Tamandua tetradactyla: one gene and its partners. The protein of the gene in region 2 interacts with the protein of the main gene of each other region in a pairwise test. Links are inferred from orthologs where the notes say so. Each region holds a gene or a part of one and is shown on either strand. Other genes may lie near its edges.

Region 1 (7,472 bases), on a different chromosome or scaffold from region 2:
AACCAGGCCTTGCACCAGCAGGCTGCAGGCTCATTTAGATGCCCATCCTGGCCAGTCCTCCGGCAGGAAAGCCTGTGTTCTAATGCCATCAGAGACTGTGCCACCTGGCATCCTCCCTGACACATACTCTAGATCTGCAAATCTTGGGTGTGGGAGGACTGGGTAATTAAGGAAAAGAGTCACAGGGCCTGTCCCATACCTACAACTGACCCAGAACAGGACTGGGGAGATGGAATCTGAGTGAGGCAGGTGCAAGTAGCTGACTGTACCAAGGTGGCTAAGTTGAGACTGAATGCAGGAAAAGAGAGGACACGGGGGTATGGCAGCCCCAACAGGCCCACTATCAGGTTCTAGGCTTCCCTCCTTAAGGTGGGGAATCAACCAACAGAAGCACAGTTGAAGAGGAGTGACTAGGGGAGCAAAAGCTCTAGAAAACACTACCTACAAGGAAACTGAAAGAATGTGAGAGGGGTAGCCCAGGGAAGCTGATATCTAGGGGATGACCAGGTGACTAGGCTGGAATGCCTCAAGGACTAGCACAATGAAAAGGAACAGCTTTGCTTGATGAGGGACCCATGGGCAGAAGCCACAAGGGAGTAGATTTCAGCTCAAAACAGGGAGGACTTTTCTAGCCATTAAAGCTGACAGAAAGAGCTACTCTGTGAGGTAGAGTTCCCTACCCCTAAGCATGTCAAGCCACAACCAGTACACTCATTCCCAGAGATTCTGAGAGGACTAAGCATACAGGGGCTTTGCAGCCCCAAAGGCCTTGGACACGGAACGTCCACCACTCAGATGCTACTGACAGTGTGGGCAACTTCCTATTCTTACCCCTCCCTTCTGCTAACAAGCCTGACTTTTCAGACTTCTCCTAACTATCTGCTTGTTCATCCTAAGTCACTCACCAGGAGCACCTCTCCACCCAGCCGGTGTAACTGATAGGGTGAACCATGGGGTAGCAGCATGAGGCTATGGTTGGCAAGAAACTGGATCCCATTGCCGAGGCACCTCTAATTGAGGGAGAAAAGAAAAAGATCCATTACACATGAGGGTGACTAGGAAGTAAGTATGTCACAGGAAAAGAGCAAAGGTCATCTGACAATCATTGGCTAATTTTTATTGCACGTCTGCTAAGTACTGGGCCCTCCTCGATCTTTACAATGTCTGAGGAGCCAGTGGGGTCTGGTGGAAAGAAAAAACATTGAGTCGTCAGCTGCAGGGCTGTATCTACCCTTCTGTTTCTGAATCTAGGGAAAAACAGATGGGTCCAAGAAATGCCAAGCTATGGGAGAAAGAAGGCTAAATTTATGAGTCCAGTTTTAATCTCAGTCTGAAAGTGAGAATGCTGAGCCTTGACACTGGTGGCAGGCAGTTTTCTCTCACCAGCTCACCTCCACTTCTGTCTGCCTCTGAAGAATAAAGACCTGGGTTTTCAGAGGCAACACAGGCCTCTGAAAACACAGGCCCCAGGCACAGCCCTGAAATAAACCTCAATGCCCTGGTGAAGGGCTAAACCACAAGCAAGGCATTGTAAGTGAGTCACTCTGGGCAAAGACCCAGCTAATCTCATGAGAAAGACAATTTCGTTTTCTACCAAGTGATAAACTTTGGGGGAAGGAACCCTCTGGGTCCTATTCAATACTGAACTCAGTGCAAAGACTGGCATACTGGTGTCAAACGAACCAACAGAACTGTTCTTTCATTTCCATATTTCTGGGGCTTTTGGTCTCTGTTCTCTGACTCCTAAGTCTAGGAAACCCAAGCAACATCTGCAATTTATACAGATGCCACTATTTTCTACAGCTATATGAAAATAACTCTTGGGAGTTTGAATAACATGTTTTATTTCTCAATGCGCCTATCCCCATCAATTCCAGAGCCACTGACCTCAACCACAGTCTGAAACAGAAGGGAATGGCCATCGGATCAGGGAGAGAAACAGTTTATCAGGATCAAACCTAAGCTGACTCCCTCTGGGTCTTAGGCCCAAATCCAAACATGTAAATTTATCCTCTAAATCCTGACTCAAAAAGACAAGCAGCCAAAGACTGCTGAGTATCACGGGGAAACTCCTCTTAACATTTGACTCGGGAGTCAGACTGACTTGGGCTTTGGATCAGATCAACCACCCATTAGTTCTGGTACTGTGGGCAGGTCGCTTAACCTCTCTGAGTTTCCCGTTTCCTAATCGGTGAAATAGGGACAAACAGCAACGACGTGAAGTGCTAATTTTTTGAGTACGCTTTACGCGCTCTGACACTCAACCGCCCTACGACCCAGTTGCTTAAATCTCAAAACTGCCATGTGAGGGACGAGAGGCGATGCAGGAAATGCTCTCTGTAGATGACCTGGCATATAAACGAGCCATGATTGTCCCTGGCTTTTGCCTTCCCCTCGCTAGGTTTTCTCCACAGGCCACCTGCGGCCACCAATCACTTGCCCGTACACGTGGGGTGTAAGTAAGAGTTGAGGGGCAATCCACTCCTCGCCGGGCTCCACGCCTCGCCGTCCCTGGCCCGGCGTGCTCGGATCCCCGCCCTCAGGCCTCGCTCCGGGCCCTCCGCCCAGACCTCAGCTGACCCAACCCCAAGCCTCTCGTCTTCGCCCAGGGAAAGGCTTCGGGCCCGGAGCCCCCTAGGTCCGCCTTGTCGGCCCCGCAAGCCCGCTCACCCGCGGACACCGGCACCAGCCACCCCGTAGCGCCGCCGCCGCCATGTTGGATGAGCCCGTGCGACCTTCCGTCGGCGCGGCTCGATTGCGTCATCCGCGGCGGCCACCTGGCGCGGCCGGGGCCAGAGACGGAAGGCACTGGGGAGGGCGGGGTCTCAGCGAGGGAAGGGCCTTTGATTGGGTGGGAGAACAGAGGGAAGAGCGAGGTCGGCGATTGGGAGGGGCTACAGAGTCTAGCGGCGGGGCGGGGCTTTATAGAGGGCGGGAAATTCTGGAAGAGGTAGGCCTCTGATAGGGCCTTCTTCCGAAGAGCGAGGCCATGGATGGATGTGCTGCGGGAGGCGGGCACTCCCATGAGGCGGAGGCCTATGATTGGGCGAAAGGACGAAGGGGCGGAGCTTGTGGCGTGGATTCGGTCTGGAGCCACGATTCTCGCACGTATAGCTCAGAATTCTGGTGGCCCGAGGGAGAGGTCCGAGGACGGTGTCTGGTGGATTCTAACTGACTGTGACGAAATGACCGACGGACCAGCCTGATAGTGACTGACTGTGGCTCACTGACAATGCCTGACTGACTGACAGACAGAGCGCCTGAGAGGCCTGACTGGTTGGCTCACTGCTGCCTCTGGCTGACTCCCTGAATGGACAGATTGACAGACTGCCTGCCAAAAACTTTCTCAGTGATCGGTTGTCTGACTGACTCGGACCCTGAATGGCCATGTGACTGCTTCAATCACTGATCCTGACTGCAGTGATTGAAGGTTCTGGCTGACCTTTGCCTGACAGTGCCTGGATTGAACCGACTTTACTCATCACCGATTGGCCAACTCATGTCCAACCTACCATCTTGCTTGTCCGACTGGAGGGCTGATCACCACTGAGGCTCCTATCGGCTGACTGATGAATTGACAATTAGGATCTCTGATTGGCGAATAATCACTACCACCACCACCCAAGACTCCCAGGGAAGGGCTGACTGGCTGGTTAGACCAGCTGACACTGAGGATGGGTTCCGACTGACTGATTTGACAGTAACTGCCAGAATTGGCCTGGCCGAGAGTGTCAGCTCTCGCAGGGGGTTCCCTGGCTGTTGGTTGGGAACAAGCCCCAGGAAGTGCCTTTCAGCCTTTGTGAGTAGGCAAGAAAATGGCACGTGTGTTTCTCCAAAAGCAAGAGCGAATGAGCCCACTCTTTTTTTTTTATTTTTAAAATTTTTTAATGCCAAAAAACACCAAACAAATGCAAACATTCTTAGCTTTTGATCATTCCATTCTACATCTATAATCAGTAATTCACAATATCATCACATAGTTGCATATTCATCATCATGATCATTTCTTGGAACATTTGCATCTATTCAGAAAAAGAAATAAAAAGAAAACAGCAAAAATGTATGCATACCATACCCCTTACCCCTCCCTTTCATTGATCACTAGCATTTCAAACTAAATTTATTTTAACATTTGCTACCCCTATTATTTATTTTTATTCCATTTGTTTTACTCGTCTGTTGACAAGGTAGATAAAAGGAGCATCAGACACAAGGTTTTCACAATCACACAGTCACATAGTGAAAGCTATATCATTATACAATCATCATCAAGAAACATGGCTACTGGAACACAGCTCTACGTTTTCAGGCAGTTCCCTCCAGCCTCTCCATTACCTCTTGACTAACAAGGTGATATCTACTTAATGTGTAAGAATAACCTTCAGGATAACCTCTCGACTCTGTTTGGAATCTCTCAGCCATTGACACTTTGTCCCATTTCACCCTTCTCCCTTTTGGTCGAGAAGGTTTTCTCCATCCTTTGATGCTGGGTCTCAGCTCATTCTAGGATTTCTGTCCCACGTTGCCAGGAAGTTCCACACCCCTAGGAGTCGTGTCCCACGTAGACAGGGGGAGGGTGGTGAGATTGCTTGTTGTGTTGGCTGGAGAGAGAGACCACATCTGAGCAAAAAAAGAGGTTCTCTTGGGGGTCACTCTTAGGCCTACTTTTAAGTAGGCTTAGCCTATCCTTTGTGGGGTTAAGCTTCATATGAACAAACCCCAAACTGGGGGCTCAGCCTATAGCTTTGGTTGTCCACACTGCTTGTGAGAATATCAAGAATTCAACTTGGGGAAGCTGAATTTTCCTCCTTTCTCACCATTCTCCAAAGGGAATTTTGCAAATTCTTTTTTATTCACTGTTCAAATCAGTCTGGAATTTATTGGGGCATCACTCTGGACAAACTCACAAAATCTCATGTCCTACTCAAGGTTCCATGTACTTACAGTGTTCAATTAAGCTGTCTACATAAGTTATATTAGGAAATGCACTAGTCAAAATTTAAATTTTGTACCAAATAAACATTTTTTGCTTTAGTGTCACACATAAGTTGAAATTTTAAAATATTAATTACCATCTATTTTCAGCACCCTGTAGTAATGACTTTCCTTTGTTCTTCCTCATGCAAAAACATTTTTTAAATTAGTACATTTAGTCACTATCATTATACACTCTAGGCATTCCTAGATTATACCATCTCAGTCTTTATCGTCTATTTCCCTTTCTGATTTGAATGAGCCACTCTTCAACAGCACTTCCAAAAGGAGCCTGTTGGTTGAGGTTTCCACTTTGGGAAGTGAAAGCTGAGACCAGTTTTGGTGTGGGCCACTCTTCCACCAAGTCAGTATGAATTGACACAAGTTTGCCCTGAAGAAGCCCAGGCCTTTGTCATTTCAGCACTCAGACACTATTTTCATTAGAGAATGCCACCACCAAGCAGAAGTACTTGGAGAAGACCATGTAATCTGAAACTCAGCTTGGTGGGAGAGAGAGGAGTTGTTTATCCTGTGGTGGAGTTAATATATGTTGCATTTGCTGTACTGTTAAAGCCTTTTGATTATAAAACTGTGATATGAGCTTATGGGACTTCGCTCTTTGAAGAGGAGGGAGGCAGCTTGGCACTGGGGAACATGCGTTTTCTTGCTTCAGCATTGGACAGACCTGTGTTCCCTGTCCCTCAGGAGCTCCACCCCAGGAGGGAGTAAAGGATGAGGGCTTCCACTCTGGCGTTGTTCAAGATGTCTGTGGAACCTCCAAGAGAAGTATACTCAAGTGATTGGGTTATACTGGTTTGTTGCTGAGAAGAAGATCTGAGCTAGAAATATGGCTACTTTGTTGTGGTTATAACTGTGGAGTTGAACAAGAATGCCCAGGAAACTGTGTCAAAGGGGCATGCCAAAGGCCAAAGGCAAAAAGGAAGAAGAGCCTTAGAGGGTGTTTTGGTTTGCTAAACGCTGCCAGAATTCAATGTATCAGAAATGGAAATGACTTTTAAAAAGGGAATGTATTAAGTTATAAGTTTACAGTTGTAAAGTCACAAAACTGTCCAAACTAAGGCATCCAGAGAGAGATAACGACTCAAGAAAAGCCAATGTCTTGTCTGTCATATAGAAAGGTACATGGCTGGTGTCTGCTGGTCCTTCTTCCTGGTTCCATTGCTCCCAGCTTCTGATGCCAGTGGTTTCCTCTCTAAGCATCTGTGGGCCTTCACTTAGCTCCTCTGGGACACAACTCTGGGTTCTGGCTTGCTTAAAATCTCATGGGAAGGTACATGGCGGCATTTGCTGGGCTCTGCATCTCCAAACATACACGTCTAGACATCTTGCTCTCTCTGTTGGTACTCCAGGCATCTCTAAATATCTGCCTCTCTGTCAGCACTGGTCTCTTTCCAAAATGTTTCCCCTTTTAAAGACTCCAGTAAACTAAGACACACCTTATATGGATGGAGTCACAGCTCCATCTAGGCAAAAGGTCACACCCACAATTGAATGGATTACATCTCCACGGAACAACCTAATCAAGATATTCCACCCTACAATATTGAATCATGATTAAAGAACATGGCTTTTCTGGGGTACACAACAATTTCAAACTGGCACAAAGGGAGACTGGGCAAGAAGTAGGAAGAGTACCCGGGGGGCTTTTGAGAAGGCAGGTGGAGTCCGCAGTGCTGAATGTTGCAGAGAGCTCAGGCAAGGCAAGAACAGAATTGCATCCATTGTCCTTTACAGAACTGTGTCTGCGATATGGGGGTCCCTGATGAGATGAGCAAGAAGGGCTTTGGTGGAGGGTTGTGGGTGGAAGTCAGGTTTCAGTAGGTTGAGATTTTTACAGAGATGTGCTGGAGCCAGCTTGTACCAGCTCATGAGAGCCAGTTGTTAAATGTTCAGGAATTGTGGAGCCACTTGTTAAAAATATCCATTACTTAGAAAATAGGTGTATAAATTTATGGTAAGAAATATTATATTAAAACAGTGGTAATAAGTACTCAAAACTCACCACTTTCTAATTATTTACTACATGCTACTATTATCTATGTTCTTTGAGGTCATTGAAATCTATCATGTCTGTATGGTGGAAATATTATAGGATGGCGTGCAGTGGCATCTCTTCCCAATTCCACGTTCAATGATGTCACATTGTAACCTGAAATTGGGTTGTGGTGGCAGTATGTATACCACATAAATTGGTAAACGCTACAAATCAGGTCCTTTCTTGGTTGGTTGGTTGGTTTGGAGAGCCAGTTGATAAACATTTACCAGCACAGCCCTGGGCAGTGATCAAAGACTCCACCAAAGAATCTTTGCTGTACATAAAGGCGAGGATGGCAGCTGGAGCACATATGCGGATGACGGAGGGGGAGTTTCTTTGCTTTTCCCAACTTTTTATTCTGAAAAATTTCAAAACTTACAAAAAAGTTGCAAGAATTGTGAAATGCATACTCGTATACCCTTCACTTAGATTCATTTTTCCA
Region 2 (7,018 bases):
GGGAACATGGGTCAGCTGTTTATAAGGGTCTTGTGGCTAGGCCTCTGTTCTTCCCATCCCCCCGTCCACCCTAGGCCAGGCTCACTGTCGGCGGTTGGTGCTCATGTCGACACAGACTGTGGGGACCTTGGAGGAACAGTGTTGGTGGAACTTGTAGCCACAGGTTTGGCAGCGGAAGCCATGGAACAGAAACTTAAGACAGAAGTCACAGAACGCCAGGCTGAAGAACGTCTTCCGTACCTGCTGCCACAAAGCAGGGAGGTTGAAGCCTGGTCAAGGACCCTCCCGCCACTCCCACAGCCTGCCCTCACTATCCACCCTACACTCACAAAATTGTGCATGGTCAGTGGGACGTCTTCGAGGACCTCAACAATGAGTTCCTCACCATCCAGGGGAGCAATGGCTGTGTCCCAGGCAGTGACTGTCTTTCGCCTACAGAGGGCATGGAAGGGAAAGAGTGGGAGGGTAGACAGGGCCATGGAGAGGCAGGAAACCTCCCAGAAGTCCCTCTAAGCCTGCCATACATAGAATAATATCTGGCATATTTAATTCTCATCACAGAAACCCTAGAAACTAGTTACCATCCTTGTCCCCATTTTATAGATGAAGAAACCAAGGCCCAGAGGGGGTAAAGTGACCTGCCCAAGTTCACAAGGGTAATGAGTGGTAGGAGAGTGTGAAGAGTCCATTTCTTAACCACGGGGTGAGACTCAAATAAGACTGTGAACAAAAGCTGAGAAAGGGTTGAAGAGACACTGAACCAACAGATATAAAGCAAAATGTGGAGAAAAAAGTAAGGAGCCCCCAAACAGAGGAATAAATAGGTCAGCAAAGCCCCATTCAGAAAAGTGGGGAAACTGAGGAAGGCCAGAACTGATGAATTAATGACATGGTGAATGAACAAAACAGCTGAACTCCAGGAGGTGGCAATGGAGCATGGTGAAGACTTGGGGACCAAGCAGTGAATGAGCTGTTGAACTCACAAGCCAATAAAATAGTGAAGTAATGATATAAAAGATGGATGAACTCGTGAATTAACTGAACTAATGGAAGTCCAAGGAAAGTGAATGGAAAACTCCATAGCAGAGTGAAAGGGGAGTCAGATGACTCTGAAGAGAGGATGGCAGGGAGGTTGGGTACCCAGTGGGTGGGTGTAGGAGTGCCACACTTACCCTTTGATGAGTCTGTAGACCACACAGCAATCCTGATTGAGACCCCGCACCTTGAGGGCCTTGTCTAGAGAGTCGTAGACACTCATGCCATCCCGGACAGTCACCTGCGTATGTGTGTGCATAGGTGGGGGGCCCCATCCCTCCACAAAGACCTCACCCTCATCCCTTGTCATCTTTTTGATCAAAGACTTACAATTGGGTCCATTCCCAACCCCTGCCAGCTTTGCCCCCATCAGACTCACCACTGTGCGTTGTTTGTTGGGCAGGTACACTTTGACGGTGCCTACTGCCCGGGACAGCTCAGCCCCGTTGGCAGGGGGGGCCCGTGGCGGCTCCATGGAGCCTAGGACTTTGTCAAGATGGGCTGAGGTGGGGCTGGGTGGGTGCCATGGGGCTCCTAGGGGAAGAGAGGCAGAGAAGGAATTCAGAGGTCCAATAATAGTAGTCTGGAAGCAAAGTAGCAGGGAACAAAATAAAATTCAATCTCCAGGCTCCACGTTGATCCAGCCCTTCCTCTGCTCAGACCTTGTTGCTTGTCTCACTCTTGAGCTCCAAGGTCTCAGATTTACTGTGTGGGGGTGGGGGTGGGGGTAGGGTGAGGGAGTGGAAGCAGCACACTGTACTGGAGGGCACAGGGTACACAAGACTCTGTGGCTCTCTTCTGGGGACTAAATGGGGAAGTCAGCACACGCTGTACTGTGGGAGTTAGGTACATCAAGGACATGAATAAACACTTTCTTGGCTTTTTAGTGGAGTTATCAGGTTCTGTGGTGAGGGAGGAGTGGGGAATAGAGGATAATCAGACACTGTCCTTAGTTTAGGGGGAATGTGGCTGTACCAGTTTTCTTAAAGGGTACCGTGGTTATCCTTAAGCACTGGGGGGGGGGGGGGGTGTAGTATTGATGGGAGGATCATAGGCCATAAGTTAGATGGATAATGGGAAGTAACCAGACTATGTAATGAGGAGTTCATATGGGGTCATCAGACACTGTGCGGAAGGGAGATGTAATCAGGGTCACTAGAAGCTGTAATGAGGAGACAGGTGGCAAATGGGGATCACCAGACATTGAGCTCAATGGGGTGGGGTGATGGTGGATATTCAGACATGGGTAAAAGAAAAGGAGGTGCAACATCAGACATTGTTTTCATGAGCTATATGGGAAGTAACGTCTCCAACATTCTCCCTGATAACTTAATGACGGGTCACAGATATAATATTGGTGTAAAGTGAAAAGGACTGATGGAAGGAATCCAAACGTGCTGGGGAGAATTAAGGATGGGTAGTGGAGAAATCCTGACATTGTCCGGTCAAACATTGATCCAGAATAAGGGAAGCGAGTAGGGAGGAGTCACATTTCCATGCACCGCCTGGAGTTGATAAGAATCATCAGACACTTTAGGATGGTTAAGAGGGAAATAGGAACACACCGCGCTTCAGCCCAGGACTGGGTCGGCCTTGCCCCGCCTACCGAGGGCCACCGGGCTCTGCGCAGGCGCGCTGACAAGGCGGGTGAAACCATCACCGGCAGCCAATTCCTGTCTATTACCCCCCCACCCCCGCTGTCCACGATGGTATCGCCCCAGGTCAAACCACTCCTCCGGTTCTGGGCGGGGGGCGCCAAGACCTAGGCACAGCCATCCTGGATCTGAGTTTTCGCTTCAGACTCCCTGCTCGTGCCCGGCGGCTGCTCGAGAAACCGAGTCTTGCCGGGCCCGCCCTCACCTGTCATGCCGCCACGGCTGCCGCCGCCTCCATCTTGAGCCTGTCTTCTTGCTTCCTCGCAGGGCCCGCCTCCACCCCCGCTTTGGCTTTCGCTATTGGCTCTACAGGACTCAGCCCCCCATGCTTATTGGGTTGAGATCATGCCTGTCAAGGCAGGACCGGCGGAATGTGGGTCGTGTTCCGGATTAGGAGGGTCTGTCTGAAACGTCATAGTCTATGGCAAATTCGCAGGTCCCGACTCGCGCAGGCGCAATCGGGGAGAGGTCTGAGCACTACGAAACTTTAACCCCAGTAATGCCGTGGCGGAATAAAGCTGGGTGTTTTTCGGTCACTTGGGGCTGACCTTGGGGGTTTCAGAATCTGGACGGGATGTCCTTAAGCGTCCTTTTCATGCCAATGACTGGGAGCCTTACGCACCCAATTGGGATTTTCTTGTTGTCTCAGTTTTTCCTTCTTTGAAATGGGTCGGAACCATACCAAATGATCTGCAGTGTTTTCCAGTTCTTGGAGGCTGCAATCATGGCCTTTGATAAGGCGGGTTTCGGGTGTGGGGTGGGGGCTGGCGCTAGGAGAGGCGGCCTGCTGTTCTGGGAGGCTTCCTTGAGGAACGGGGTCGATAAGAATTTTGAAAGATGAGACCGGCAGATGAAGAGGGCAGGGGAGTGTGGACCTGGAAGTATCGTAAGGGTAAATACAAATCTTAAATAAATAAAAGAATTGTCCCTGGTGCCAAAAGGGAAAGAGACACCCCATCCCTCATTCCCTTTTCTTAGAACTTTCTTTAAAAAACAAACACTTGTAATTGTAAACTTTTTCTCTGTCCCTTTGAGATATATGTAAATCTTTTTTTTTTTTTTTTAGCATGAGGCAGGCACCAAGAATCGAACCTGGGTCTCCAGCACAACAGGTAAGAACTCTGCCACTGAGCCACCATTGCCCACCCATGTAAGTCTTTTAAAAGCTAAATAAACCTTTTGCCACTTTACAACTCAGGGAGGCTTTTCTTGAGGGTCTTAGAGCCATCCATCTCTTTGAAATGTAAACATTAAGGAAGATAGCAGCCCTATCTCCAGGTCTCTATGCGAGTTTAGCCTAGGTGCCTGGCTCTAAGGTGTAACTACCTGCATGTCATAGAAATATGAGGTTTATTTTTTTCCTCTGTATATAGGCAATTAACTAACACAGATGGCCATCCCCAATTAATAGGTGAATTTAAGTTGAGCAATAGGAAGTGTATGCTGTCATATTTCCTTACCTGAGGATAAGTTATTATTTATCATGAAAACATGTAATGGGCTGTATCTGCTTGGCTATATAAAAGGGTGAAATTTCTTTCTCTTTGCAATCACTTTAGCAGATTTCTTGTGATGTGTATTGCAGTCTGATTTAATGCTTATTCATAAAACAACTGCTTCATTCTTTCTACCTTTGTGGAGGAGAGTCTTTGGGTTGGCAGATTTTAATTTTAATTATCCCCCCAACAGTATGAACTGCCTGCGGTATTTGAGATGACTGCCTTCTCCTGTTTGGAGCCTCAGCATCCCTCTACAATGAAATGAGATTAGGTCACTACGTAAGGGGCCTCAACATGCTTCAACTTTTATTCACTGAGTATCTTCTCTGTGTATAGGAAGAAAGACAGAAGTTCCACTTAGTTGGCTGTCATATCTGTTTCCCATTACCCCTTTTCCATTCAGATCTGCATCATTTAATAGCTAAAATTGAAAGGACTTTCAATACCACAAGTTGATGAGGATGTGGAACAACTTTCATACTTTGTTAGTGGGAAGGTAAAATGGTACAACTACTTTGGAAACATTTTGCCAGCTTCTTATTAACTTAAACATAGACCTGCTATACAGTCTGGCAATCTTACTTCTAGGTATTTACCCGAGAAAAATGAAAACACATGTCCAATGGTGTTTGGTAAGTGTTTAAAAACCAGCTCTCCGGAAAAAAAACTAATTTTTAGCAGTCGTCATTTTATATCATAAATACTCTCACCATGACTTATTTCAAATTATTAATATGACATCATCAAACCAAAGTTGGGAAGAGATGTGCAAAATCAACTCTGGAAAACTCACTGCACTGCCCCGCTGCAGGACATGACTCCCACGGTGTAAATGTCCCTGGCAATGTGTGACAGGACTCCAGGGATGAGCTGGGACCTGGCATCATGGGATTGAGAAAACCTTCTTAACCAAAAGGGGGAAGAGAGAAATAAGACAAAGTTTCAGTGGCTGAGAGATTTCAAACAGAGTTGAGAGGTTATCCTGGAGGTTATTCTTATGCATTCTGTAGACATCCCTTTTTAGTTTATCGTGTATTGGACTGGCTCGAGGGAAGTACTTGAAACTGTTGAACTGTGCTCCAGTAGCCTTGATTCTTTTTTTTTTTTTTACATTTTTTAAATTAATTTTTAAATTAAAAAAATATATAGCAATAAGCACAAACATTCTTATGATCATTCCGTTCTACATATATAATCAGTAATTCACAATATCATCACATAGTTGCATATTCATCATCGTGATCATTTATTAGAACATTTACATCAATTCAGAGAAAGAAATAAAAAGAAAACAAAAAAAATTCATATATACCATACCCCTTACCCCTCCCTTTCATTGATCACTAGCATTTCAATCTAAATTTATTTTAACATTTGTTCCCCGTATTATTATTTTTATGCTGTATATTTTACTTGTCTGTTGGTAAGGTAGGAAAAAGGAGCATCAGACCCAAGGTTTTCACAATCACACACTCACATTGTGAAAGCTATATCATTATACAATCGTCTTCAAGAAACATGGCTACTGGAACACAGCTCTACATTTTCAGGCACTTCCCTGCAGGCTCTCCAATATACCTTAACTTTTAGTTAAATTATTAAATAGGTGATACCTATTTAATGTGTAATAATAACCTCCAGGATAACCTCTCGACTCTGTTTGGAATCTCTCAGCCATTGACACTTTACTTTGTCTCATCTCACCCTTTCCTCCTCTGGTCGAGAAGGTTCTCTCAATCCCTTGATGCTGAGTCCCAGCTCATTCCAGGATTTCTGTCCCACGTTGCCAGGAAGGTACACACCCCTGGGAGTTATGTCCCATATAGACAGGGGGAGGGCAATGAGCTTGCTTGTTGTGTTGGCTGGAGAGAGAGGCCACATCTGAGCAACAAAAGAGGTTCTCTTGGGGGTGACTCTTAGGCCTAATTTTAAATAAGTAGCCTTGATTCTTGAGAATGATTGTATAACTATACAGCTTTTACATGGTGACTGTGTGAATTGTGAAAACCTTGGTTCTGATGCTCCTTTTATTCAGGGTATGGAGAGATGAGTAAAAAAATAGGATAAAAAAGTAAATAATGGGGGGAGGGGTTAAGGGTTATAGAAATTGGGTAGATTGAAATACAAGTGGTTAATGAGAGGATGGGGTAAGGGGTATGGGATATATGAGTTTTTCATTTTTCTTTTTCTGGAGTGATGCGAATCTAAAAATGATTAAGGTGAATGAATACATAATTATATGATGATACTGTGAGCCACTGATTGCTTACTGTGGATGGACAGTATGTGTGTGATGATTTCACAATAAAAATATTTTTAAAAATTTTTTATTAATTAAAAAATATTACAAGAAACACAAACATTCCCAACACATGCACTCAGCAATTCACAATATCATCACATAGTTGCATATTCATCATCATGATCATTTCGCAGAACATTAGCATCAATTCAGAAAAAGAAATAAAAAGACAACAGAAAAATAAAACAAACAGAAAAAAAGTTTACATACCATACCCCTTACCCCTCCCTTTCATTGATCACTAGCATTTCAAACTAAATTTATTCTAACATTTGTTCCCTCTATTATTTATTTTTATTCCATATGTTCTACACATCTGTTGACAAGGTAGATAAAAGGAGCATCAGACACAAGGTTTTCACAATCACACAGTCACATTGTGAAAGCTATATCATTATACAATCATCATCGAGAAACATGGCTACTGGAACACAGCTCTAAATTTTCAGGCACTTCCTTCCAGCCTCTCCATTACATCTTGAATAACAAGGTGATATCTACTTAATGCGTAAGAATAACCTCCAGGA
Region 3 (7,878 bases), on a different chromosome or scaffold from region 2:
GGGTGCTGGGGAGCCAAGGGAGGGTTGTGAGCAGGGGAGGGGCAAGGTTAGCTCTGGGGGGGACAAAGCTTGAGCTGTGCCGGGCCAGTGGAACAGAGGCAAGGGGCAGGTGGATGAGAGAAGTAGAGACCCCTTTTTGTCCCCAGTCACCTCTCCTGGGGACTCCTGTATGCCAGGCCCTCTGCTGGGCGATGCTGGAAACCCCCCAAAAAATCTGGCTGGGGGGGCAATGCATCTGGTGAGGTGGGATTGGTGTGACATCAGAGGTAGCAGGACAGTGGGGCACGAGGGGAGGAGACACAGGGTGCGCTGGGAGGAGACTCCCAGGCCCAGAGGAGGTCGGGGGTGGGAGTGGGAGTGAGGGCACCCAAACCTGGCGCTGCGCCTCCAGATCCGCCTTGTTTCCGACCAGCACGACAGGGAAATCATCACGGTCCTTGACTCGGAGGATTTGCGTGAAGAGCTTGCTCACCTCGTTGAAACTGGGGGAGAAGCCAGAGGCGTGAGCCCCAGCCGGACCCTGGGCCCCGACCGACGCCCCCCACCACCCGCAGCCCCTCACCTCTGCCGGTCGTTAATGGCGAACACCAGCAGGAAGCCGTGGCCGGCACGCATGTACTGCTCCCGCATGGCGCCGAACTCCTCCTGGCCCGCAGTGTCCAGGACTGCAGAGACGAGGAGAGGGGCCACCGTGGGAATGGGCCTCACCCCGCTCCCCCTCCGTCACCTCCATATGCCCTGGTCCCCGCCATCCTCACTGTCCAGCCGGGCTGGGACGCCATCCACGGTGCAGATCTTTGTGTAGGAGTCCTCGATAGTTGGATCGTAGTCAGACACGAAGTAGGACTGGTGGGAGCGGGAGGGGGACTGTTACTGCAGCCCTGTCCCTGGGATCAGTCTGTCTGTGCCCCCCTCTCTCCCTGGGTTGCTGTCTACCCAGCCCCCTCTTTGGGCCTCTGTCCCTCTCTGTCTCTCTAGGGCTGTCTCCCTCTCTGGGTCTCTGTCCCTGCTCCCTGCCACGGTGTCTCTCCCCTCTTCTCTCTCAGAGCATCTCTTGGTCCTCTCCCTCTTTTTGGTATAAAACACAAGTACATCTCACATAGTGATCACTTCCTGGCTGTGTGACATTGAAGAAGTGACTTCCCTTCTCTGAGCCTCAGTTTCTTCATTTATAAAATATGGGTTAAGAATAGCCCTACACCTATTCCAGTGTTTGTAAGATTCCGGGCAAATTCCGGCTAAGTACATTGCCTGGCACGCAGTGAGCACAGTTACTGGGAGCCCTTGATGGCTGGAATCCCAGCCTGTCCTCGGCTCTTCCTCCCTCCACCCCCTCCTCCTCCGGCCTCCAGCACCTCCTCCCAGGGGAAGGTCTCGGTTCCAATCTGGCCGACGAGAAGCTGAGAAGCTGCCCCGCCTGCCTGCCGGCCCCTCCCTTCCTGCCTGGGTCCCACCCGCCTCCAGCTAGGCCTATGGCCAGCTCCAGGTCGGCCCCTGGGTGCAAAGGGCCTGGGGCTGAGGCCTTTCTCTGAGCAGGCAGGACCTCCCAGGCAGGGGCTCGCTGGGGTCTCATTAGGGGTCTGTGGGAGCATCTCGGGGCCAGACCCCTCTCTGGGGTTTCTCTGAGATGGTAAGGGAAGCCAGGACTTCCTGATGGAGTTTCAGGACACAAGGGGTGACGGGGCAGCTGGGGTCTGAGGTTACCCCTGTTGTCTGGGAGGGAGGCTGTGGGGCCGGGCTCCTGGTGGGGGGTATGAGGGACGTGCCTTCAGAGTGCATTAGGAGAGGCTGGGGTGAGGGCTGAGGGTTAGAGCTGGGGCAGAGCCTCCAGATTGCACATGGGTTTTGGGGAGATCTGTCAGTATTATAGGTGCACATCCAGAGAGTTTATCCAGTCCTGAAGGAGAACCTTCCAACCCCTTAATGTCTAGAGACATTAAGGCGCATCTGTAAGGTCAGAGAAACAACCAAGGAGCAGGTCTTTCTGGGGGTGTCAAGAATCTGGGGGTTTCTTCCTTAGAGAAGATTGGGGAGATATCTGGGGTACCTGAGAGGGGCTCAGGAAAGCGAGTGGAGGGAAACTCAAAATGGAGAAGTGGCTAGTTTTCTTGGGGCTGGAAGGGTGGGTTCTGGTCTGGTAGGATGGTGGAGCTCCAGGAATTAGGGTCATGGAGTTTTCTGGAATGGCCAAGGGGCATGATCCTTTTGAAACCTCTTGGGTCCGAGGGGAAAATTATTTCAAAGCAGGGGTTGGAAGGTTCTCCTTCAGGACTGGATGGTCCCCGAAGGTGCTCAGAGGCAAAGTCTGAGGTTAATTTCTAATTTCTGGGGGAGATCCCTGAAAGGGCTAAGAATCCCAACTAGAGGGAACTCTGTGGTATGGGCAAGGCATTCTCCCAACAAGGCTCCGGATGGGCCAGGGGGGAAATCCAGATCTGGGATTTGGGGGAGCCGGGGCTCTGGGAGTGGAGCTGAGCGGGAGGAGGAGAGAGGTGGCACCCAGTGTAGGGCTTAGGGTCCGAACTGGGAGGTTTTCATGAGTTTGGGGTACTCCCAGGAGGCGCTCAGAGCCAGGTCAGCAGGGAAGGGGGATCCTTGGGTGTCAGGGCGTTGTGGATCTCAGAATGCAATTTTAGGAGGAAGATCCCGCGTGCAGGGGGTGGAGGCCGGTTTTGGGGCTCAGGGTGCCCATCTGAGGGGATCTTGTGAGATTAGAGCACCTCATAGGAGTGTCTCAGGAATAAGTTCAGGGGAAATCGGGGTCTTAGGGTTCTCCCAAAGGGCTCAGTACTGGATCCCGGGGACACCGCTCAGGGTGAGGGCTCACTACCTGAATGAACTGGATGGTCAGCGCGCTCTTGCCCACGCCGCCGCCGCCCACGACCACCAGCTTGTGTGTCTCGCTGGGTGGGGGGTCCCCCGGGCCCGGCCCCCCGCCCCGGGGCCGCCCCCGCCCTGTCCCAGACGCCGCCCCGCTGCTCATGTCGCCACCGCTGTTGCCGCCGCTGCTACCGCCGCGGGGAGGGGGAGTGGCCGGGCGGGGCCAGGGGGCGGACTGCGTTAATGAGCCTACTGCATAACCATAAGTTCCAGCAACAAGAGCACTTGCACGGGGACACTTAAGGAGGAGCTGAGGCGGGGATATGCTAATGAGGGCGAGTCGCCCGCGGTCCAGGCCGAGGGGAATTCCGAAGGAGGTGGGGATACGCTAATGAGCGCATTTTGCTCCCGCCGAGCTGCGCCACGCGCTCTCGACCCGCGGGCCATCTGGGGGCGTGGATATGCTAATGTGCGCTCTAATTCTTCCTGCAGACGGGGCGGGAGGCTCGCTCGGGGCGGGGCCATGCAAATAGAGCCCCTGTGGTGCCATTCTTGCCTGCACTGTCCCGAGGCCTTATTCTGGCAGGCGGGGCTTGCCGACTAGCGCGCGGCCGTATATAGGCGCGCTCCGAGGAAGGAGCGGGTCCTAAGGGGAAGCTCCACCCCGTCCTGGGATCCTCGCCAAGTTCCCAACCCGAGCTGGATGCTGCAGTCTCCGCCCGCTAAGGGACCCAGGCTTCCGGTTCCCGCTGTCCCAGCCAAACGGAAGACAGACTGGGAGGAGAGATGGGGCCCTGGAGGGGGACAGTCCTGGAACGGGCCAGGGAGGGGCTGTGAGATCACTGCATTCCTAACGCATGAGCCAGCTCGCCCAGGCCGGGACGCCTGGGTCATGAGGAGCCAGGGGCCAGGATTTCTGGGTCCTGAAAGGGAAGGAAAATGAGGATCCAAACTTCTGGGTCCCTGGGAGAGGATGGAGCTGGAGACCTGGATTCCTGGGCCCCGAGGAGGAGGGGGATTGGGGATCCTTATTACTAGGTTCGGTAAAGGAGGGAGTTGGGGTCCCGGACTCTTCGGGTTGGAGAGACTGGTAGCCGGGAATTCTAGGTCTGAGGGAATTGGGATATAAGATGCGAGCAGAGAGACTAGGCATCCCCTGTCTAGGAGAGGAGGGACCTGAAAAGCCGACTCCTTGGTCTGAGGAAGGAGGGCTCGGACTTCAGAATCTGAGGGAGGAGGGAAATGGGAATCCTAACTCCTGTGCCCTGAATGAGAGGAGACCGTAGGGCCGAATAACTCGGTTCTAGAGGAAGCTGGGGGTTCTGAGTTCTAAGACTCCCGCAGAATGTGGGCGGAGCAACTCACAACCAGTCCAGTTTCTTCCCCTGCTCCCATGCCCACTTCGTGGAACTACAATTCCCTTGCATTAGTTCTGCAGCGCGCCTCTGGCGTCACTTCCTGTTGTCACCATTTCCGAGCGTGTGCAGGGCATTGTGGGGCCTCATCGAGGCTTACCGCAACCCCGCCCACTTCACCTCTCACCCGCTGGCTGTCCCCACGCGACGGAGGCAACGCGCCCGGACTACGCCTCCCGACGTGCGTCGCGCGCGCCCCCGCTCTTGTGCCCCATTGCCAGCCGGGAAATCGAGTCCATCCTCCATCCCACCAGCCTTCACGGCCCCGTGCTCGGTACTTGAAGTCCCGGCAAGCTCGGCGGCGCTTTCGTCCCGCCTCCTGTCTTCCACCTCTGCTCGCGAGCCCCGCCCCAGCCCGCCCCGCCCCGCGCCGGGGCCGGAGCCGCAGCCCGAGCGGCGGGGTAAGATGGCGGCGGCGGCTCGGGCCGCGGGGCTCGGGCCTATCGGGGTGGGCGGGGCGAAGTTGGGTCGCTAGTTGTCCCGGGGACCTCCCTACACGCCGCGGGGCCTGGAGGGTTTAGCGGGGCGGTCTCGGGCCCGGTAGCGGCGGCGGAGCCTGGCACCGAGGAGGGGGCCTTCTCAGAGCCCCGGGACGCAGCTCTGGGTGCTGGGTGGGGGTGTCTGCGAGACACCCCCAGCTTCTAAAACGTCTGGACCGAGACCGGGGCCTGCCCTCGATCACCTAGCTGGGCTGAGTTGTGTCTGTAGGCACTATAGGTCATCTCTATGGGCTGACCGGAGGCTAGGGTCTGTTTAGAGGGTCTGGGGCCATTTTGAGTTCTTGAGATATGTCCCTAGGGGTTAGGGACGTCTGTAGGAGCTGAGGATTATCTGAAGAGCCATCTAGAACGCCTGGGGTATGTCTTGATAAGACTGGGATGTGTCTACACGAGCTGGCCTGCAGATGCGACTCCTCTACATGGTGTGGAGCCATTTGGCGGCCCGGAAGAAGAGTTTTAAGAGCCAGGGGGTCATTGAAGGCCATCCAGAGGGGAGGGATGAGCCCACTAAGGGACAGAGTTAAATACAGAGATGTATTGAGAGGCCTGGACGGGTCTCCAAGGTCTGGAGAGGGTCCAATCTGAGTGACAGGAGGATGGGGGCAGTTAGAAGGGCCTGGAATCTAGGTGGCTTTTGATGTGACTGCAAAGGGGGCAGGGTGTGGTAATAGAAGAACCCGAGAGTACTTCTGCAAGAGGGCCACCTCTATGTCTGGATTAAATTCGAATGCCTTTTGGTACCAGAATAAGACAAAAGTAACTGTTGGAAATTTCGCCAAGCCCGCATTTACTTGTCCTTCAGAAAGTTATTTGAATTAAGAAAGATTTAAAATTCTGCATTGCCCTGGGGCAGTGGAGAAAGAGTTAAAATTAGTCTACATTTTTCTGGGAAGGTCCATAGTATCATTTAGATTCATGTGCTACAGTATTTTCAAACTGCTTTGACCTTGATGTACAAGTAAAAAATACATTTTTCCTTGAGACCCGGTCCAAACCTACATAAGTGTTTAACTAATACCAAAGTTACACAAAGTAATATTTCCACTTACCGCTTGTAGGTACTGTGAAGAGTTTCTAGTGTGTTCTACTTGTCTTTTCATAACAAGCTGTTCATGTACTGCTATCAGTACCTGTAATGTGGGAAACACTGATCTGGGGACCTACTTTGTCTTCAGGGCCACCTTTGCCTTCTGTCTAAAAGATCCAAGGAACCGTGGGTACTTCTGCCAAGCTTGGGGCATGAGTGAGGGTAGGGTGCATCTTCCTCCATTGCAGGGGGTTAGGTGATCTGTAAGTCGAATCAGCAAATCTTGATTGAGCTTCTGTTATGTGACAGTCATTGTTCTAAGTGCTTATGCTTCCCTGGAGGTTGCTGGAGAGTGACTTGTGGGCCAGAAACTGTCATGGGGGCTGAGGGCATTGACGATTATTGGCAGTTGATTATGGGGGAAGGTTTGGTGTTGGAAAGGGCCAGAGGCAAAGGATCAGTCAAAAACAAGTCTATCTCCGGTGGGCTTGCTGTAGGAACCAGGAAAGGGGCTGTAGTCTATTAGAGAGCTGGGAGGCTGAGTGGGAGCTTTGGGCTAGTTTGAAAATCTGCAGTGAGAGTGACACCAGAGCCCACGTCTTTTTTTTTCTTTTTTTTTTTTCTTTTTGCAGGTGCGTAGCCGGGGTCGGGGAGGTATAGGGGAAGGCCGGCCTTGAGGGCTAATGATGATATTTACTATTTCTTGATGTTGAGCCTTTGGGGAATGCTAACTGTCTTGCAGGGCTCAGTCTCTGTTAAAGTCTCACAACGATTCTCTGAGATTAGATGCCCCTATTTTTCCCATTTTACAGATGAGGAACTGAGTTGGGAGTTAGGGATTTGGAAGCTTCATGGGAATTTTGAGATTGGGTATTATTTTTAGACTGGCATATTTGACGGTCTTGGGGGAGCATACAGCTGAAGTAATCATATCTTCTGAACCCCTAATCAAGACCCTACCGCCAGTGTGAAGCCTGATCTTTCAACTGGCTGAGTGGGTAGTAGAATCCAAGAATTTATGCAACATGGCAAAGGCATCTGCATGCGACGGGTAGATAGGTGAATGCCTCCTGTGGGGTCTTGGGGACGGCATGCCTTTCTGAAGGTTAGTGTTTTTGCTTTAAAAGTGTGATGCTCATTTAGCAGACCACTCTGGTAATTCCATATGTACCATGCATACAAGGACATTTTCTTTGGTTCCTTGCCATCAAGGAAAGTTGCTGCTTTAGGAGGTCGTGTGGTGGTCAAGGCAAGCGCTGTGTGGACTTAAGCGATTGTGGAGCATACTACTTGAAATAACTCAACAGTGGGGTTGGGTTGGCCACCATGAGGTGGGGAACAAGATTGGGTTTGGGGGGAAGCCGAGGGAACTGGGAAAAGGGATGTTGACATAGGAGGCTGGATAGCTTCCCTTTGACAAAGGAGGGAGCTCAAATCTAGAAAGGGGAAGAAAATTGGTCTTGTCCCTCTGGTGTCTGCACTGTACCTGATACTTGCCCAAGGACAGGGAAGCTGGGAGGAGGCAAAGGAGGGAGGGCTACCCCGCGGACAGGATGCTGGTTGAGGCAGTGTCATGAGCCCATGAGGTCATCATGTCCAGCCCCTGCTCTCATCTACTCCAGTCTCCATCCCAAACTCTCATCCCCTTGGCCACCAGGTGACCATGGAGGAGGAAGATGAGTCTCGAGGGAAGACGGAGGAGTCGGGGGAGGATCGAGGTGATGGCCCGCCAGACAGAGACCCCACGCTTTCTCCTTCTGCCTTTATCCTGGTGAGGCTGCTGGATGCCTGTGTCTGAGAGAGAAGTGGGGCTGGGAGTCCCACTTCCAGAGCCCCAGTTCCTGGGCCCTAATAGGAAGGAGGGGTTGGGGACCTGGACTCTTGGCCCCAGTGTCTAGAATGATTGTCCTCCAAAAGGCAGAAGCTGGGAGCCATTTGCACGAGTCCTCTGACTCCCCTTCCTGCCTTTTTCCTCAGCGGGCCATTCAGCAGGCTGTGGGAAGTTCCCTGCAAGGGGATCTGCCGAATGATAAAGGTATGATGGGCTTGGTTACTTCTAGCCCCCTGATCCATCACTGCATTCCTTATCCTGATTTCATCGTATAACTTTCCCTTG
Region 4 (7,616 bases), on a different chromosome or scaffold from region 2:
GCCCTTTATAGAGAAGTTTGCCCACCCCTGCTCTAGACTAACAGGACTGCTAATTTGAGGCAAGTCAGTGATCTTTCTGAAAGAGGCGTTTGGGAGCAGATGGAGCATGATACTTTCCCTGTGGAGACTGGGGAGTCTCCTCCTAGATCCTATTTGTGTGAGTGGCCTGGAGGCAGGCTGTGAAAGCCAGAGCTTCACCAAGAGTGTTGGCCTTATGGGTCTGCCTCTACCTTGGACCTCTTCTTCTATTACCACATCTTCTCCAGGGTCATGCCACCGGCCTGCTCAAAAGTCTACAGTTTAGCCTGGACCTCTCTCTTGAGCTCCAGACTCAAGCATTCAACCATTTATTCTCATTTCTGTTTGGATGTAATGAGTAACCCAAACTCATTAGGACAAAACTGACTTCATCTTTTCTCTAAAAACACATCTTCCTACAATCCATGTCTTAGTAAATGTTACCTAAAAGCCAGAAACCTGGGAGTCATCCTCAATTTTTTCCTCACCCCATTCTCACATCCTGACACAGGGACCCATTCTCTCTCAAACATAATGCATTCAATTTGGCCCCTTCTTCCCTTATTCACCTTTTTGGTTTCTTTGTTTTGCATGTCTGCAATAGCAAATATTCCCCTAATGCCTCAAGTTTCATTTCCTTCTTTTGGTCATCTTTTATGTTGATACCACAGTGATCTTCCTAAGCCACAAATGTGCTGTTGCTCTCGAGCTTAAAGTTTTCTATCTCCCTCTCAGGGGAAAAAAAAAATTCAAACTCTTTAACATGGCCTTGCCCTTTCCACTTGCTCATCTGTCTAGTCTCATCCCCATTTGCAACCTGCAGCCAGAATGAACAATCTGCACTAAATAATTCTTACTTCTACCTTACATATCCTCATATAGTTTCCTTACACATCCAGCTGCTGCCACAAAGCCACCAAGTATGGCATAAAATACACAGAATTTTAGCACTATCTTTAAAGATCTGCTTACAAAACCTCTTCTGCCACCTCCCTGGCTTCCCCCCACCCCCCCCTCCTAGCATACCATAATTAGAAATGCATGTGAAATGAGTATCTGGCCCAACCTTTATTAATAAAAGTTCACTAGGATCAATATTTGGGACACAAATAAACGTTTGGGACCACAATAAATGTTTTCCAAGCATGAGCTTCCCCAACCTCCCACTAGTGGGTCCAGGCCTGGCTTTTCTACTATTTCTACCTGTAAACTAAGGCAGGTAACTCATGCACCTAGTTTATAAAATGAGAGCATTGGATTGGATGGCCCTTAAGATAGGTCCCACTCTATGACTAGTAGGCTCAATGTGATAAGTACTACATTTTGAACAGGATGCCCCTTACCAACCCACCATTAAACCAATTAAACCCCTAAATTTCTCTCATCTGGACCACTTCAGTGGTCAGCTGTCTGATAAAGTGGTCAGGAGACAAAAGACCTACCTGGGTTTGGATCCCCGTTCCTCCATTTACCAGTTTTGTGAGGTTGGACAGTCTTTCTTCACTTACAAAATGAGTAGAGTAATACCCAACTCAAACCCTTGAGGGGGGAATGAGTGAACACATGAAAGTACCTAGCACAGGCTCTCAATTAGCTAAACATGACTACCAACCTCTATAATCCTCCAATACTAGTGGAATGACCCCACATACAAATCCACTCAAGTCACTCCCTGCCCAAACTTGTGACCAAGTCACACTTTTCAGAAACTTTCAAAGGCCCTTCAGAACCTGCTCTCTATTGTACTGTACCTCATGACACTCCCTCTAGGAGGCAACCAACCACACAGGACTTCTTTCAGTCCCAAGAACACGGCCTACGTCTTTACATCTATGTGCCTTGGTTCCAACACCTTTCTCTCATCACCTTGCAACCCCATTTCTATCTTCAAAACATTGGTTCGGTATTTCCCAAACGTACCTAATCTTAACTCTTGTTCAAAAAGACAAATTCCCAGGCTCCACTCCACATCGACTGTATCAGTCTCCAGAGGTGGGGTCCAAGAAGCAAACATGCACCTCAGTGGGTCTTAATATTAGAATACGGTAGGGGTACACTGGCTGAGCTAGAGCCCCTTGCTCGGGCTTTCCAATACCCCCTCAGAGAGGTAAAAATGGTCCTTCCCTGGCTCCCACGCCAATCAGTCCCTGATCAAGAATGAACTCAAAGCACTGGAAAGATGATGGTGGTTTACAGAACGGTTATACATATGCCCAAAGTTCTACCTTTTTCCCATGTTGCTGACTTGGCTTTTTGCAATGTTAATTCCTCCACCTGAGTTTGTGTCCTACTCGCCTTGGGGGTCTAGGAAATAACAGGGCCTGGCACTGGGCCTGGCTCAGAGTGACTACTAAGCGGGTCATCTCGTGGTACAAGAAAGTAAGCGGTTCCTGTCCAGCCAGAGCCCTTCACTGGGCTTCTGGGGAAACTGAGGCGCCCGCTTGGCAGCAGCAGCGCTGGGCCCGAGACCAGGGTCCTCGCTCGGAGCCGGCTGCCCACAGTGCAGGAGTTCCGGGACGCCCTCGGTGAGTCAGGACGAAGCGTGAGGAGGTTCCGCCCCTTCGGTCCCCCATCCCCATCTTTTTAAAAGTGAGGAAACGGAGGCCTAGAAAGGACGCGCCGCCGAACCCTCCGCTGAGTGGGGGGTCCAGTGGGGGGCGCGGCGCAGCGTGGAGGCCCCGCCCGCCAGCCCGGGGCACGGGGCGAAGTGGCGGGCGGGGCGGGCAGTGCTTAAACCACGGGATGAGCACGCGCGGCCTGGCGCCTCACACTCGGCGGCAGCGGAGCCGGACCGCCGGCGACGGAGACCAAGAGTCGTCGTGGGAGGCGCGCGGCGCCCCCCCTCACCTGGCCACCGTCCGCCTCGTCACCCCACTCGGCCGCGCTCCCGAAGTAGTCCTCATCCATGATGGCGCCTGACGCGGCTCCCGCCATCGTCTCCAGCGAGCGCGCGCTCAAGCAGGGCGCATGCGCGCGGCGGAGACAGGCCAGCGGGCGGGCACTCGCGCGGCCCCGCCCCCCCGGCCGCGCGCCTCGCCTCGGGCTGGAGGCGTGGTCGAAAGAGGGGGTGTGGCCGGAGAGGGAGGCGGAGTCGGCGGGCTTCCGCCCCCGGGACAAAGGGCTGAGGGTCACTGCTGGCTCCGTCCTCCCATAGCCGGCTTAGGGCGTTTCTGGGCCCAAGGAAAGATCCGAGTTTTGAACAGGGAGCTTGGCCTGGCCGGAACTTTACCTCTGGGTAGTTTTACGTTAGGCTCAGACTGGCGTGGCTTCGCCTTTGGGCGGGATTCCCTAGCTGACACTGGGCACAAGAGCAGGGCTGACATCCATCGGTCTTAGTGTCTAGGTCCACAAAAATGTTTTAATTTTAATTTCTTTTAAAATCGGAGGAAAAGTGGATATTGTGGTGTGGGAGCAAGGGTAGTTCAGTGGTAGAATTCCCGCCTGCCATGCAGAAGACCGGGTTCCGGTCTTTCCACCCAACCTCCCCCCCCCCCAAAAAAAAATTAAACAAATGGTGCTGCAATAATGGAATAGTCACATGGAAAAAGAATGAAATGTGACCCCCACCATAGAGCATACAAAAAAAAGTATTGCAATAATGACTCCAGTCTGGATTATATTTGTATAGATATAATTCACATAAAGTTACCAAGGCAGTTGTAAAATAACATTTTCAGTATGTTTTTATGAAGACGAAAGTCACTAGGGGCCACAAAAGTCAGAATGCAGTCCTCCAGAGCAGCCTAGTGGGGTAGTTGGGAAGCATGGATGAGATGATGACTTTAAAGCCCTTAGCACAGTTCCCGGCACAGAGTAGGGGGCATCAAAAAATGCCAGTTCTGATGATGACCACTGGAAGCCTTGGGCAGGGAGGTTAGCACTGTCAGATCTGGATGCTTTGAAAGGTAATGCCCGTGGCTGCAAGGAAAAGGCACTAGAGGGAAGAGCCCTGGGATGCTGCTCATGTAGCCCCAGGCTTTAATACATTCCTTTCTTTCTTTAACAAATATTTCCTGAGGGTCTGCTCAGTGCCTGGTGCTGTGTGGTTCTCTGGAACTCAGTGCTGGATAAATTGCATGTGGCCTTTGTTCCAGTGGCACCTACATTCTCTTGAGAGAGATGAAGAGGAAACAAAATGATGATGAATGGTGGTTAAATGTGAATATACTGTGACTGTAGGAGAGGCCTATTTAGGGCAATCAGGGAAGGCATCTTAGTTTCCTTCAGCTGCTGTAACAAAGTACCAGGAAAACATGGCTTAAACAACAGAAGTTTATTGTCTCTCAGTTCTTGAGGCCAGAAGTCCAGATCAAGGTGTTGGCAGGGCTCATTGTTCCATTTGAAACCTGTAAGGGAGGGTCCTTCCTCCCCTCTTCCAGCTCCTGTTTACCAACTATCCTTGGTATTCCTTGGCTGGGGCTCCATCACTCCAGTTTCCGCTCCTCCGTCTTCACGTGGCCTTCTTTTCTCCTCTTCTTATAAGGACACCAGTCATACGGGATTAGGGCACTGTGGGGTTAGGACTTGACCATGTCTTCTAGAGGGATACAATTCAACCCATAGCAGAAGTAAAAACCTCTGATCAACTATTTGCTCAGATTCACATGATGAAAAAGAGTCAAGCAAGCTAGGACCAAGGACAGAACATTTTAGGAGAGTGAAACTGCCAGGGCAAAGGCTTGGCATGTGTCCTGGGAACAGAAAGCCTACTGAGAATGGCACCTGGGAGTCCAAGGAGAAGCTTGGATGAGGTGAGAGAGGTAGATAGGGCCAGATCTTGGTAAGGAGTTAGGTCTTTGACCGAAGGCTATTTGGAAGGCTTTAATGCAATAATGTGTGAAAAGCACTGAGCATGGAATCTGCACATGGCTGGTGGTCAGTAATCATCGGTTATTGTGGTTTGAAAACATTATGCACCCCAGAAAAGCCATGTTTTAATACTGATCCAATCTTGTGGGGGGCCGTGGATTTTTAAATCCCAATTCAATATTGTAAGGCGGAAGTTTTTTGTTAGATTATCTCCACGGAGATGTGATACATCCAATTGTGGGTGTGACATTTTGATTAGATGGAGATATGGCACCACCCATTCAAGGTATATCTTGATTAGTTTACTTGAGACCTTTAGAAAGGGAAACATTTTGGAGAGAGTTCAGAGTGGATTTAAACGTTTGGAGATAGAGCCAGAAATAGCCTGGGCTCTAAACAAGAACTCAGAAATAGCCAGATGCTGGAGAGAAGATATCTCCAGCCCCGGCAGATGTTAAGCTAAGAGATGAAACTCAGAGTTTAATACTGATTCACCTAAATGAATGCCCACAGCCGCTTAGCAAGGAAACCATTTTCATTAGAAGCTGGAAGCAAGGAAACTGGGAATAAGGACCAGCATATGCCAGCCACTTACCTATCTAGATCATCCTTCCTTGAGCCAAGATATCCTTCTCTGTATGCCTTAATTAGGACATATTTATGGCCTTAGAATCGTAAACTTGTAACTTATTAAATTCCTTTTTTAAAAGCCATTCCATTTCTGGTACATTGCATTCTGACAGCTTAACAAACTAATACAGTTATTGTGGTGTGAATGAAATGCTTGGTTTTTGGGTTTTTCTTGCTTTGAGAAGGTGAAGGACCATATCTGGGTTTTTCTAATCCACCTCCCATTGTGCAGGCAGGAGACATTACAGAGGGGAGCTTTGGGAGGTGGGAATGAGACTTGAGGAATCAAAGAGTTCATGGAGGCTGCAATGGGTCGGGGAGCTGCTGTGAGATTGGGGCAAAGGCCTGAAAATGTGGTAGCTTTGGGGTCCCAGGGAGCAGGGGCCAGGAAGATACTGCTGAGACTTCCAGCCTGTGTGGCTGGGTTCAGTGCACTGCCAAGATGGTGAACCCCCAAGGAGGGCAGGTTTCTGCAGGGGAAGATAATGAGTTCAAACTGGAAATCTCTAAATTAGAGGCATAGACAGAACACCCATGTGGAGATCTTTTGCAGGTGGTTGGAGATGGAAGCCTGCAGCTCAGGGATTCAATGAATTGAGCTCCAGCTTCTATTCTATTCACAAGATTAAAGAGTATTAAGTTAATGAGTGCCCCTGCTGTTGGCTTGTTTCAGGGTTCATTTACTTCCTGAAAATGTTGGAAAGAATGGATGGTTGTTAAACTCCTAACACCTCTCCTCTCAGATTTAAAAAAAAGAAATTGTGCCTGAATTGAAAGCAGTCAAATTAATATGTGTATAACTAATTGCTCCTATAGAATTAGGAATTATTTAACTCATCTCTCCCTCAACAAAAGGTTACTTATTAAATGGATTAACAAACAACACATGATGAGTACATTGTATTCAGTTGATAAGTCGCAATAGTTTAGAATAATTGAGTCTGTAGGTCTTGTGTCCTGAGAAATTATTGACCTGTCATTTTTTAAAAATCCTTATATGGAATGTCCAAAGTAGCTTGCATTACTTAAACATTCTAAAACCACTTAGAATATTTGCCTATTTAAGAAAAATTCTGGTTCAGAATTCCCATGCAAATGAGAAGTTGGTTTCATTGAATGCAGGTATTTACTAACTGCCTATTAGGTGTCATGTGCTGGGATGCAGAGGTGAACAGAGAAACAGTCTCTCTATTGCTTATGTGAGGAAGGGGAAAAAAGGCCACTTCCAATGAAGTGGAAGGAGCAAGGAATAGGGCTTGACCTAAAGGAGAAGTCGAAGAAGACCATTCTAGGAAATGATATGTCAGCTGAGACTTGCAAAAACCTGGAGGACAAAGAGATGAGGGCCCAGGGAGAAAATAAAAGAAGACAGTACAAGAAAATGGCTGGAGTGTAAATAACAAGAGAAGAGAGAGATTGAGAGAGAGAAAGCGAGACACCAGAGGTAGACAGGGGCCAGATGGCTGAGGAACTCACAAGGGCTTTAGGTTATCCCCAGGGGATTGGGGGGAGCCATTGAAGGCTTTACTACACGAGAGTGTCATGATCAGATATAGGGTTTCCTTTCTGGCTGCCATGGAGAAGAAGGATCCAAGGGGACCCAGGAGTAGGTGAGAAGTGACTATGACTGAGATTAAGGCAGTGGCCTGAGGAGGAAGTGAACACTTTTGAGAGGTCAGGAAGCTGGAGAGGTAGAGTTTGAAGAATCTTACCCTTTGGGTGTATGAGAACCACCTTCAGATTTAACTTCTTCATTTTCCTTTCACACTTATACTCACTCACATCTGCTTTCTGTCCTCTCCACACCACTGAACCACACTTACAAATGGCACCATTTTTTTCATATCCAAAGAACACTTCTCTGCCTTCATTCTATTTGATCTCTCAGCAGTTATTGACACAGATGATGGCTCTGTCTTCCTTGAAACACTGCCCTTCTCCTGCATCCACACCAGCTCACTCTCATGGCTTTCCTTTGGCCTCAGCCATTATTCCTTCTAAGCCTTCTCTCCTGTTCTCTTCCTGGACTCCAGATATTGCAGGATCTCTGGACTCAGGCCTAGATCACTTCTCTACTTCCATTCTTTCACTAGATGATCTCTTTCATCCCATGGGGCATCTCTTCTGTCTCATGTCTTTTTTTTTTTTTAATTAAAAAA

The links.
Region 1: the proteins of ARAF (region 2) and TIMM44 interact in binary tests that used the Homo sapiens proteins (3 or more experiments, as listed by UniProt). The link is inferred for Tamandua tetradactyla from reciprocal best matches to the Homo sapiens genes ARAF and TIMM44.
Region 3: the proteins of ARAF (region 2) and RRAS interact in a two-hybrid assay, tested with the Homo sapiens proteins (2 studies listed by BioGRID). The link is inferred for Tamandua tetradactyla from reciprocal best matches to the Homo sapiens genes ARAF and RRAS.
Region 4: the proteins of ARAF (region 2) and NELFCD interact in binary tests that used the Homo sapiens proteins (3 or more experiments, as listed by UniProt). The link is inferred for Tamandua tetradactyla from reciprocal best matches to the Homo sapiens genes ARAF and NELFCD.

The regions. Positions count from the first base shown.
Region 1 is NC_135337.1:84,342,749-84,350,220, forward strand, and holds the start of TIMM44 (mitochondrial import inner membrane translocase subunit TIM44), read right to left. Parts: upstream 3,010-7,472; 5' UTR 2,716-3,009; coding exon 2,671-2,715; intron 1,011-2,670; coding exon 906-1,010; intron 1-905. UniProt on the Homo sapiens protein: Essential component of the PAM complex, a complex required for the translocation of transit peptide-containing proteins from the inner membrane into the mitochondrial matrix in an ATP-dependent manner.
Region 2 is NC_135353.1:122,565,376-122,572,393, forward strand, and holds the start of ARAF (serine/threonine-protein kinase A-Raf), read right to left. Parts: upstream 3,005-7,018; 5' UTR 2,903-3,004; coding exon 2,896-2,902; intron 1,570-2,895; coding exon 1,415-1,569; intron 1,277-1,414; coding exon 1,173-1,276; intron 433-1,172; coding exon 330-432; intron 241-329; coding exon 86-240; intron 1-85. UniProt on the Homo sapiens protein: Involved in the transduction of mitogenic signals from the cell membrane to the nucleus. May also regulate the TOR signaling cascade. Phosphorylates PFKFB2.
Region 3 is NC_135342.1:11,509,305-11,517,182, reverse strand, and holds the start of RRAS (ras-related protein R-Ras), read right to left. Parts: upstream 3,016-7,878; 5' UTR 2,984-3,015; coding exon 2,831-2,983; intron 847-2,830; coding exon 759-846; intron 666-758; coding exon 563-665; intron 483-562; coding exon 374-482; intron 1-373. Other genes in the region: SCAF1 (splicing factor, arginine/serine-rich 19), read left to right, coding at 7,426-7,533, 7,740-7,797. UniProt on the Homo sapiens protein: GTP-binding protein with GTPase activity, likely involved in the regulation of MAPK signaling pathway and thereby controlling multiple cellular processes. Regulates the organization of the actin cytoskeleton.
Region 4 is NC_135327.1:26,323,377-26,330,992, forward strand, and holds the start of NELFCD (negative elongation factor C/D), read right to left. Parts: upstream 3,007-7,616; 5' UTR 2,953-3,006; coding exon 2,866-2,952; intron 2,649-2,865; exon of another isoform or gene 1,939-2,648; intron 1-1,938. UniProt on the Homo sapiens protein: Essential component of the NELF complex, a complex that negatively regulates the elongation of transcription by RNA polymerase II.